2 linked regions of the Callithrix jacchus genome follow. The protein of the gene in region 2 interacts with the protein of the main gene of each other region in a pairwise test. Links are inferred from orthologs where the notes say so. Each region holds a gene or a part of one and is shown on either strand. Other genes may lie near its edges.

Region 1 (5,753 bases), on a different chromosome or scaffold from region 2:
TCTCTACCAAAAATGCAAAAATTAGCTGGGTGTGGTGGCATCTGCCTGTAGTCCCAGCTACTTGGGAGGCTGAGGCAGAATTGCTTGAACCCAGGAGGCGGAGGTTGCGGGGAGCCGAGATCACACCGTTGCACTCCAGCCTGGGTAACAAGAGCAAAACTCCATCTCAAAAAAAAAAAAAAAAAAGAAACTATAAGGGTAAATTTTTATGACCTTGAATTTGGCAACGGAATTTTAGACATCATACCAAAAGCACAAACAACAAAAGATGTTACCAAGAAAGTGAAGGCCAGGCATGGTGGCTCACACCTGTAATCCCAGCACTTCGGAAGGCCAAGGCAGGTGGATCACAAAGTCAGGAGTTCGAGACCAGCCTGGCCAAAATGGTGAAACCCCATCTCTACTAAAAACACAAAAAAATTAGCTGGGCACAGTGACACACACCTGTAGTCCCAGCTACTAGGAAGGCTGAGGCAGAAGAATCGCCTGAACCCAGGAGGCAGAGCTTGCAGTGAGCCAAGAGCGCACCACTGCACTCCAGCAAGAAAGTGAAAAGACATGTTCTAGAATGAGAGAAAATATTTCCAAATTACGTATCTGATTACGGTTTAACATCCAGAATAAAGAATTTCTACAATTGAACAAAAAGACAACCCAATTTAAAAATGGGTAAACAATTTGAATAGACATTTCTCTAAAAGCATATATAAATGGCCAATATGCATATGAGAAGATGTTCAACATCATTAGTCCTTAGAGAAATACAAATCAAGGTTGGGCACGGTGGCTTATGCTTGTACTCCCAGCACTTTGGGAGGTCGAGGCTGGTGAATCACTTGAGGTCAGGAGTTTGAGACCAGTCTGGCCAACATGGTGAAACCCCGTCTCTACTAAAATACAAAAGTTAGCTGGGTGTGGCGGTGACCGGCACCTGTAATCCCAGCCACTTGGGAAACTGAGGCAAGAGAATCACTTGAACTCAGGAGGTAGAGTTACAATGACTCAACCTGAGAAAGCTGATTGAAAAACATAAATAAAAAAGTTTTAGGCCAGGCACAGTGGCTCACGCCTATAATCCCAACACTTCAGGAGCCCGAGTCAGACTGATTACCTGAGGTCGGGAATTTGAGACCAGCCTGACCAACATAGAGAAACCCCCCCACTACTAAAAATACAAAATTAGCCGGGTATGGTGGTGCACACCTGTAATCCCAGCTACTCAGGCGGCTGAGGCACTTGAACCTGGGAGGCGGAGGTTGAGGTGAGCTGAGATCACGCCATTGCACCCCAGCCTGGACAACAAGAGCAAAACTCCATCTTTAAAAAAAAAAGTTTTAAAAACCACAATGAGATACTAATCCACACCTACTAGGATGGAATAAAAATAATAAAAGCACACATTGGCTAGAATCTAGAACCTGGTAGATTGCCGGTAAGAATGGAAAATGGTACAGCCACTGTGGAAAACAGAATAGTGGTTTCTAAAAAAATTAAACGTAACTACTATATAATCCAGCAATTGTACTCTTATACTATTCCTCCCTTATTCACAGTTTTGCTTTGCAAAGTGTCAGTTACCCATAGACAATTGTGGTCTGAAAATATTAAATGGAAATTTCCAGATATAAACAATTCATAAGTTTTAAATTTCATATTATTCCAAGTAGCATAATGAAATCTCACACTAACCCGCTCTATTCCAACTGGGACATGAATCATCTCTTTGTACAGTGTATCCACACTATATACACTGCCAGCTCGTAGCAGATATTGCAGGGTTTGTGTTCAAGTAATCCTTATTTTACTTAACAAAGTGTAAGAGTGATGATGCTGGCATACTGTTATAACTGTTCTCTTATTATTGTTTTTAATCTCTTGTTGGGCCTAATTTATAAATTAAACCTTGTCATAGGTATGTATGTATAGGAAATAACATAGTATATAGGGTTTGGTACCATCTGCCATTGCAGCTATCTACAGGGGATCTTGAAATATATTCCCTCTGGATAAGAAAAGGACTACTGTATATGTATACCATGAATATCATTCAGCCATAAAAAGCAATGAAGGTCTAATACATGCTACAATATGATCAAACCTTGAAATTAACATGCTAAGTGAAATAAGCAAAACACAAAAGGACAAATCTTATTTCACTTACTTGATGTCCCTAGAGTCAAACTCAGAGACAGAAAGTAGCTTAGAGGTTACCAGGTGCTGAGAGGAAAGGAAAATAGGGAGGTATTTCTTAGTGGGTAAAGAATTTCTGGGCCGGGCGCGGTGGCTCAAGCCTGTAATCCCAGCACTTTGGGAGGCCGAGGCGGGTGGATCATGAGAGATAGAGACCATCCTGATCAACATGGTGAAACCCCGTCTCTACTAAAATTACAAAAAATTAGCTGGGCATGGTGGCGCGTGCCTGTAATCCCAGCTACTCAGGAGGCTAAGGCAGGAGAATTGCCTGAACCCAGGAGGCAGAGGTTGTGGTGAGCTGAGATCGTGCCATTGCACTCCAGCCTGGGTAACAAGAGCGAAACTCCGTCTCAAAAAAAAAAAAAAAAAAAATTTCTGTTAGAGGCAGTAAAATGTTTGGAAATAGATATTGGTGATGATGGTCACATAACAGTGTAATTGTAATTAATGCCACTGAATTGTACACTCAAATGAAAAATTTTGTTACATACATTTTACCACGAAGTTTTTTTTTTTTTTTGAGACAGAGTCTTGCTCTGTCACCTAGACTAGAGTGCAGTGGTGCGACCTCAGCTCACTGTACCCTCCGCCTCCTGGATTCAAGTGATTTTCTTGAGTGAGTTTCTTGTAATCTGAGTAGCTGGGATTACAGGTGCCCACCACCATGCCCAGCTAACTTTTTTATTTTTAGTAGAGACAGGGTTTTTCCATGTTGGCCAGGTTGGAATAATCTTTTTCTTTTTTTTTTTAAACTGGCATTGTAGCCTGGGCTCAAGCCTATATTGCCAGAATTTTGGGAGGCCAAAGTGGGCAGACTGCTTGAGCCCAGGAGTTCCAGAGCAGCCTGAGCAATATGGTGAAACCCCATCTCCACAAAAAATACAAAAATTATCTTGGCATGGTGGTACACACCTGCAGTCCCAGCTAGTTGGGAGGCTGAGGCAGGAGGATTACTTGAGCCCAGGAGGTTGAGGCTATAAGTGAGCTGTGTCTGTGCCACTGCACTCCCTTTGAGGCCTGATTATCCCTGTGAGACTAACATGGTAGAGGACAGATTTCTAAAGGCAGCACTGTGAACTGCTGTCCCCTATTTACCTGACACGTGGCTTTTCATGACTGAGCCTAGGCTGTCCTGGACGCTAGCCTCTCCTTCAAGCACAGCTGACAGTGAAGCTGGAAGGAGCACCATGCTGAGCTTCTTTAGTCACCATGGTGACAAGAAACTAACACAAATATTTGCTTATGACCTCACTGGGGAAGCAGACAAGGGAGGTTAGATTGGAAGGAGGAACATCTGCAAAAGCACATCTGGAATCTCAGGGAAACAGCAGGCCAGTGGCTTTTTCCATTATGTACTCCCTTACTTGCTGTCGATGAATTTTTTAAGATCTACAATACGAATAAATCTTTTCTAGCATCTGACTGTCCTAGACTGTCTTTGGGTTCTGTCTCTGTCTCTCTCTCTCTCTCTTTTTGAGAGTCTCACTGTGTTGCCCAGGCTGGAGTGCAGTGGCATGATCTCGGCTCACCACAACCTTCGCCTCCTGGGTTCAAGTGATTCTCCGCCTCAGCCTCCCAAGTAGCTGGGATTACAGACGCCTGACAATATGCCCAGCTAATTTTTGTATTTTTAGTAGAGTCAGGATTTCACCATGTTGGTCAGGCTGGTCTCGAACTCCCAACCTCAGGTGATCCACCCACCTCAGCCTCCCAAAATGTTGGGATTACAGGCATGAGCCACTGCATCCAGTTTTCTGTGGGTTTTCTTAGACAAGGAACTCTCTCAAAGTGAATAGGTCTCTGAAGTTACACCTTCCATTTCTAGGGAATAAATGTCTAATGTTGCCATGCACTTTCTAAGCTTTCAAAACCAAAAAAACTAGCAATGATAATACAAAATAGGTATGGGCCCTAAAATGCCTGAATCATCGTCTGCTCCAAATTCATACGATGAAGTCCTAAACCCTGATACCTCAAAATGTGACTGAATTTGGAAATAGAGTCCCTAAAGAGGTAATTAAGGTAAATAAAGTTACTGGGGTAGGCCCTAATCCATAACTGGTATCCTTAAAACAAGAGAGGGAGAACACCATGTGAACATGAAGACAGCTATCTAGAAGCCAATAAATAACAAAGGTCTAAGAAACCAACTCTTCTGTAAACTTTTTTTTTTTTTGAGACAGAGTCTTGCTCTGTCACCAGGCTGGAGTGCAGTGGTGTGACCTTGGCTCACTACAACCTCTGCCTCCTGGGTTCAAGCTAGTCTCCTGCCTCATCCTCCCAAGTAGCTGGGATTATAGGCGCCCGCCACCATGCCCAGCTAATTTTTGCATTTTTAGTAGAGATGGGGTTTCACCATGTTGGTCAGGATAGTCTCGATCTTCTGACATCATGATAGGCTTGCCCTGGCCTCCCAAAGTGCTGGGATTACAGCTATGAGCCACTGTGCCTGGTCCCTTCTGACAACTTGATCTCAGACTTCTAGCCACTACAACTGTGAGAAAATACTTTTCTGTTGTTTAAACCACCCAATCTGTGGTTCTTTGTTATAGTGGCCCTAGCAAACTAATATAGGCTGTAATTATCTAAAGAAGGCATTGACTCCTGCTAGTATCTAATACCAAATTCAAGTTAACTAAAGCCTTGTCTTTAGACCCGGGCAAAAGCAATAATCAAAGTAAACTGCTTTCAAGAGACACAAGGATACGCCTGTACTAAGAAAGATAAAGACTGGCCAGGCAAGGTGGCTCACGCCTGTAATCCCAGCACTTTGGGAGGCCGAGGCGGATGGATCACAAGGTCAAGAGATTGAGACCATCCTGGCCAACATGGTGAAACTTCATCTCTACTAAAAAATACAAAAATCACCTGAGCGTGATGGCGCGCACCTGTAGTCCCAGCAACTTGGGAGGTGGAGGGTGCAGTGAGCTGAGATCGTGCCACTGTACTCCAGCCTGGCACCTGGAGACAGAGCGAGACTTTCTCAAAAAAAAAAAAAAAAAGATTAAGATTCACTTAATAGGCCAGGCGAGGTGGCTCATGCCTATAATCCCAGCACTCTGGGAGGCTGAGGTAGGTGGATCACCTGAGGGCAGGAGTTCAAGACCAGCCTAGTCAACTTGTCTCTACAAAAATTAGCCAGGCATGACGGTGCCTGTAAATCCCAGTCACTCGGGAGGCTAAGGCAGCAGAATTGCTTGAACCTAGGAGGTGGAGGGTGCAGTGAGCAAAGATTGCGCCATTGCACTCCAGCCTGGGCAACAGTGGGAGACTGTTTCAAAAAAAAAAAAAGATTCACTTAATTAAAAAAATTGTCCGGGCACGGTGGCTCACGCCTATAATCCCAGCACTTTGGGAGGCTGAGGCGGGTGGATCACGAGGTCAAGAGATCGAGACCATCCTGGTCAACATGGTGAAACCCCATCTGTACTAAAAATACAAAAATTAGCTGGGCATGGTGGCGCACGCCTGTAATCCCAGCTTCTCAGGAGGCTGAGGTAGGAGAATTGCTTGAACTCAGGAGGTGGAGGTTGTGGTGAGCCGAGATCGTGCCATTGCAC
Region 2 (5,759 bases):
GTATAAAAATATCTTTTTGTGATAGTAAACCTTTTGATAGCAGTTCTGATTTGGAAATTATTTATACATTTTATAGTTTCATTTCTTACGTAACTGTGAACTCCCATATACTGAAAAAAAGAGAAAGATAAAAAGCAAAGTTAAGTAATTTACTTAACATCAAATAAAATTTAGCCTCCACTTAGGGAAAAGGCTACCCTGCATGCATGAAACTGATCCCCATCCCACCTTAACCCCTATCTTGCTGAGAACTGACACACTGAATCACATTACTTCTAAGAAGCAGGGCTTTTGATTAAACTGTAACACCAAATACCACTCATATTTCTCTCTTCTATGTTCTTTCATTCAAATGTTTTCAGTCTTTTCTTTGTGACTGGGACTGTAAACACTTTCAAAATTAAGGTTGTGCTTTTAGAGAACACTTGTTTCACAACTTATTACCAGATTTGCATAAACCACTAATTACAATAGATACTGGGCTCTATTACTTTGATAGCAGTAATAAGTTATTAAGAATGTATATAAAAATTTATAGTTATTTTAAGGCAATTATTTCACGGCCATTCTAGTGTATCATACCTTTGTGGAAGATACCTTTGGTCTAAGAAAAGTTTTTGACATTATAAACTGTAACAGTTCCCATCCGTAGTATAGGACCAGTAATACATTAAACTCTAATTCACCTAGGGGAAAAAAAAAGAAGCCCTCAAATGAAAAAGAACTGTAAATACAGAATTATAGTTATAAATGTATACTGATACAATCAACAACACAATAAAGGCTCAATAATTAGTGAAAACAGTCAATTTAAGTGATACAGGAAATCAAAATTCTAAAATAATTTTACTTTTAATGACTATAACTGGATAAATAAACTACTTGTGGTGTTACAAACGGAGTTTTTCACATGAACTCAATGACGTATTTGAGAAAAACAGAAAAAAAAAATTCACAAACTGTTCTACTTACCTTTTGTCATTAAAATCAGGCAATTCTATTTGAGTAGTTTATATACTGAAAATTAAAGTTTTCCTTATTTCAAATTACAGTTGCAGTTCTTCATTTCCAACATTTCCCAAAAAATAAAATACAATGAATTCACTTGCTGTGGACAAAGAATTTAAATCTTACTGTAAAACTGTTTTCATTTGATCATGTTATTAGAAAATTTCTTAGTAACACTGTTTTTCAATTGTGTTTTCAAATTCTTAAACCTTTATGCAAACTAGTGAATTCAACAATTTTAAGTTAGCCAGAAGAGAATTTTAATGCCTACAAATTTATACACTGGAAAGTATACTGAACTATTTTACAGTTTGGAGCACACATCGCCTATAAACACCCCTACGTACTAGAAAACAAATTGCTGGCCTTTCGTCCCAAATCGTTCACGGTTAGACTTTGACGTTTCAAATGGTACACAGTTGGTAAAAAAACAAACAAAACATTTGAGTAAATATAGTTTGTAGCTCGAAATAAAAGATGCAGACTGTTGTCACCGTCAGGACTCTATTCACTCTTTGAAAACAAGATTGACAATTACCTCCTTTTAAAAGCAGGTAACTGTCCCTGAAGATGCCAGATTCCTGAAATGAGATGTCAGAGGTAGACCTTCAAGACTATTCCTAGCCGACCCACCACCACCCCACACAGTGAACAGGGAATACTAAGGTCAAATATTCGTCCAACGTAATCCTGTAATCAGTAGGGTGCCGGGTTGAGCTCGCAAATCCCCGCTGCAGGACTGGGCTCTGCACCCTCAATCTTCTCATCCCCAGATGGGACGGGCGGGTCAGGAGGAGGAGCGACGAGAGCCCAAGAAGGCTTGAAGGCAAAGATAGACTCGCGTCTCTAAGACATATACATATTATAGCGGCAGCCGCGGCGGCCTTACGTTCCCGGAGCTGCATTCCCTTTTCGGCGAAGAGCGGAGGCGAACAGGATCTACCCCGAGTGAAAGGGTAGCCACCTGGCCGTATCCGGGCCTCTCTGAGGTACGGCCTCCCGGGGACCTTTCAAAATGGTCGGCGCATCCGCGACGCAACCGAAGGGCGGGGCCCGCCGGAGTGTGTGACTTAGGCATCCAGCGCACTGCCTGACCCGAAGCACCGACCCGAGTTATGCCCACCCTTCAACTTTGCGATGGAAACGTGTTAGGGAAAGCTAGGTAACTAGTGGGCCGCAGCTGGGCCGCCGGGGCAGGCCGGGGACGCCGCGGTGGGCCTGGAGGTCCTTGGGGCCCGTGGGCTCTCACTGCCGCCCGCCCCTTCCGGCTCCTCCCCGTAGTGCAAAGGGCGCTTGAGCGAGGTGATCGGAGCAGTTGCAGCGAGGACCATGTTGCTTCCGAACATCCTGCTCACCGGTCAGGGCGCGCGGCCGGGAGGGGCTGGGAGGGGGCAGGCGAGGTTTGCGGAGTGCTCTGGGCCTCGGGCCCCGCTCAGTGTTCTGTTTGGAGGCCTCCCGAGGGCCGCGAGGCGGCTGCAGCGCCCCGGGAGCCGACCCTCACGGGCTTGGCAGGAGGTGGGGGAGGGGATGCGGAACGTTAATTCCGGTGGCCCGAGACTTCCGGGGGAGGAGGAGAGAGGTCGGCAGATCAGCTCTCCTGCTTGGCAGTCTGCTTAGTCTTTCTGAATCTGGTATTTTGTGTGTAAAATGGGTTGTTGATTCTTTGGCAGGGTTGGCTTTGGGATTTTTAGCGAAATAGTGTAAGGTCACATCTGTTCTCCAGTAGAGCCATTAATGGTGGAGGCCTCACTCCTTAGGCCTCCCTGGGCCATATTTTATTTTTTCCTTTGCTCCTCAGATCAGATTTCGGGAAATGACTTTAGATGTTTGTGGTGTGACTAAATTACTGTATGCCTTTGTTGAGTTACATCAGAGGTTCTCCCCAGCCCCTTAAAGGAGAGGAATCTAGTGAGCATTTCGGGTCGTTTCTCGCGTAGGAGTGGGTCTTTGAAGCCATACTCAGGGTGCGTGTTACCGGTGAAGGAACTAAAATGCTGCTGCGTAACGACTTCATCGAATATTTTAGTCCTTAAAGTGTTTATTAAATTGTAGACCATTCGTGGAAAAATCTAATGCATGTAGATTTTATTGGAACGTACCGAAAAATTAAGAGTCGGTGGAAATAAAGCAGTAAAGTTACAGCGTTCATCTAAACATAAGATGATTTGCAGCGCACAAGACATGTCTGTTTCTGAGAGGTGCCGATTAACCAGGCCACAAATAATGTTTAGCATTTAAGATTTCTTAAGTGGAAGATATCACATCTTTTTGCATGGATCAAACATAGTGCCTTGGTTATTAATATTGTGTCATTGTCAAAACTTTAAAGTGAGCATTTTATTGAAAACATAATTGAGTCCAGGGTTCAGACTTGGTGAATTATAGTGGACTTGAGGTAACTGTTAATCTCTTCCGTGTGGGAACTGGATTATCCCTGTTATCTTTATGCTCAAGTTTAATTTCAGGGATGTTAAACCTGAATAGCTGAAAATTACAAATTTGATCTTGAAGTGTAATTATAATAGGTATCAAAAGGGGAAGGTAAGAAGCAATGTATAGTATGTAGTATTGTCATTTATGTAAAAGGGAATATATGTTGTATTTATGTATGTATATACAAAGTATGTATATACATGTACATTCATATGCAACATAAATAGGGTTTCTCTGGGAAGATATACATGTATGGGAAACTGGTTCACAGTGGTTGTCTCTAGGGAAGGGTGCAAGGGGTAAGACTGCTTACATTTTAACATGAACAGTTTTTGTTTTTGTTTTGGGACAGTCTCATTATGTTGCCGGGGCTGGTCTCGAACTCCTGAGCTTAAGCAATCCCCCTGCCTTGGCCTCCCAAATTGCTGGGATTACAGGCATGAGCCACCACACCTGGCTATGAACAGTTTCTTAATCTATTTAAATTAAAGCAAATATGCCGGATGGGTGGCTCATGCCTGTAATCCCAGTACTTTGGGAGAGGGAGGTGGGCAGATTGCTTGAGCTCAGCCTAGGCAACATAGCGAAACCCCATCTACAAAAATTAACCAGGGCATGGTGGTACACACTATGGCCTCGTCAACTGGACATGCTGAGATGGGAGGATTGCTTGAGCCCGGGAGGTTAAGGCTGCAGTGAGCCAAGTGCCACTGCACTCCACCTGAGCAACAAAGAGATATCTTGTCTTTAAAAAAAAAAAGTAAATAAATGACTGTAATTGATTTGAGGTGGTTAATTTTATTCTGAACAGTTCCATGGTAGTAGCAGGCAGTTTGAATCTGCGACAGAATCTGCTGAGCCTCACCCTTGAAGGATCAATAACTGGGTAATATTTTGACATTCAGTTAGCTTTGGAAAATTTTTATTAGATCATAGACATATTGAGGTGGCTCATGCCTGTAATTCCAGCACTTTGGGAGGCTGAGGTGGGCGGATCACCTGAGGTCAGGAGTTCGAGACCAGCCTGGCCAATATGGGGAAACCTCGTCTCTAAAAATTCAAAGATTATTAGCTGGGTGTGGTGGCAGATGCCTGTAATTCCAGCCACTCAGGAGACTGAGGCAGGAGAATCACTTGAATCTGGGAGGTGGAGGTTGCAGTGAGTTGAGATTTTGCCACTGCATTCCAGCCTGGGTGACAAGAAGGAAACTCCATCTCAAAAAAAAAAACTTACATATGATTGCTAATTAGAAGATTTTTCATTTCATTCATTGAGAACCTTAAGGGCAGAGACCAGGGGAGACTCTGTCTCAAAAAAAAAAAAAAAAAAAAAGGGCAGAAGGTGGGCTACAGTGTGATGAGTAGTATTTCACAAACAATATTTTTCTGTGGCTTATCTTACAGGTACACCAGGGGTTGGAAAAACCACACTAGGCAAAGAACTTGCATCAAAATCAGGACTGAAATACATTAATGTGGGTGATTTAGCTCGAGAAGGTAAGGGACACTTTGATGTTAGATTTATTATTATTATTTTTTAAAGTCTGATAGCGGAGTGTTAGTGCTAGGTATTGTCAGAGGGTACAAAAAACAGCTTGCCATTAAAGAATATATACTCTTAGGTAATCCACAGAAATATTAAGTGTCTAATGCTATGTCCTGGTTATTTTGACCATTTTCCCTTCTGTCTTCAAAATGGCTAGCAATTCTTGTGAATTGTTGGGAAGGCTCCTATGAAGAGACTGGATTTAGGATAGGTAGAATGTGAATAAGGAGAATGTTTTTAAGTTGAGCAAACAAAGGTTTGGTACTGCTAAACATGTATATGAGCACAGTGAGTGTATTGGTCTCACTGGAAGGAGATTATTTTGAGTTCAGGCATAGGACATGACTATGCTATCTTAGATTAGTTTGAGATTTGCATGCAACTGCATATATTGTAAGATGATAGATGTTATTTATTTTACCCTGTTTTCCCCTAATCTTTTATTGCTCCCTTATTTGTGTCTTCATCTTTTTATAGTCAATGATGATTTGTACATGGTAGGAACTCCATAAATTTAAGTAAAGGGACTTAAAGTATGCCTCATTAAAATTGAGAAAACATAGTTTGATTTTTTTAAAATTTTTTACAGTTAAATCTATGTTAATAGATTTAAACATTTTTAAGTTCCTGACAGTTGCTACTAAAGTAACTATTTCAGATTGATCTAATGTACATATTTTTTTCAAATGATCTAAAGTCTGATCATCGGATATCATGGAGTCTGGCAAGATGGCTTCTCCCAAGAGCATGCCGAAAGATGCACAGATGATGG

Evidence for each region. The genes of interacting proteins can lie anywhere in the genome.
Region 1: the proteins of TAF9 (region 2) and KPNA6 interact in binary tests that used the Homo sapiens proteins (3 or more experiments, as listed by UniProt). The link is inferred for Callithrix jacchus from reciprocal best matches to the Homo sapiens genes TAF9 and KPNA6.

What each region holds. Positions count from the first base shown.
Region 1 is NC_133508.1:68,746,275-68,752,027, reverse strand, and holds the start of KPNA6 (importin subunit alpha-7), read right to left. Parts: upstream 3,386-5,753; 5' UTR 3,383-3,385; coding exon 3,289-3,382; intron 1-3,288. UniProt on the Homo sapiens protein: Functions in nuclear protein import as an adapter protein for nuclear receptor KPNB1. Binds specifically and directly to substrates containing either a simple or bipartite NLS motif.
Region 2 is NC_133503.1:140,123,125-140,128,883, forward strand, and holds the start of TAF9 (transcription initiation factor TFIID subunit 9), read left to right. Parts: upstream 1-2,100; 5' UTR 2,101-2,170; exon of another isoform or gene 2,171-2,337; coding exon of another isoform or gene 2,338-2,587; intron 2,588-4,252; exon of another isoform or gene 4,253-4,327; intron 4,328-4,845; coding exon of another isoform or gene 4,846-4,938; intron 4,939-5,684; 5' UTR 5,685-5,701; coding exon 5,702-5,759. Other genes in the region: cell cycle checkpoint protein RAD17, read right to left, coding at 583-686, 973-982; AK6 (adenylate kinase isoenzyme 6), read left to right, coding at 2,338-2,587, 4,846-4,938. UniProt on the Homo sapiens protein: The TFIID basal transcription factor complex plays a major role in the initiation of RNA polymerase II (Pol II)-dependent transcription.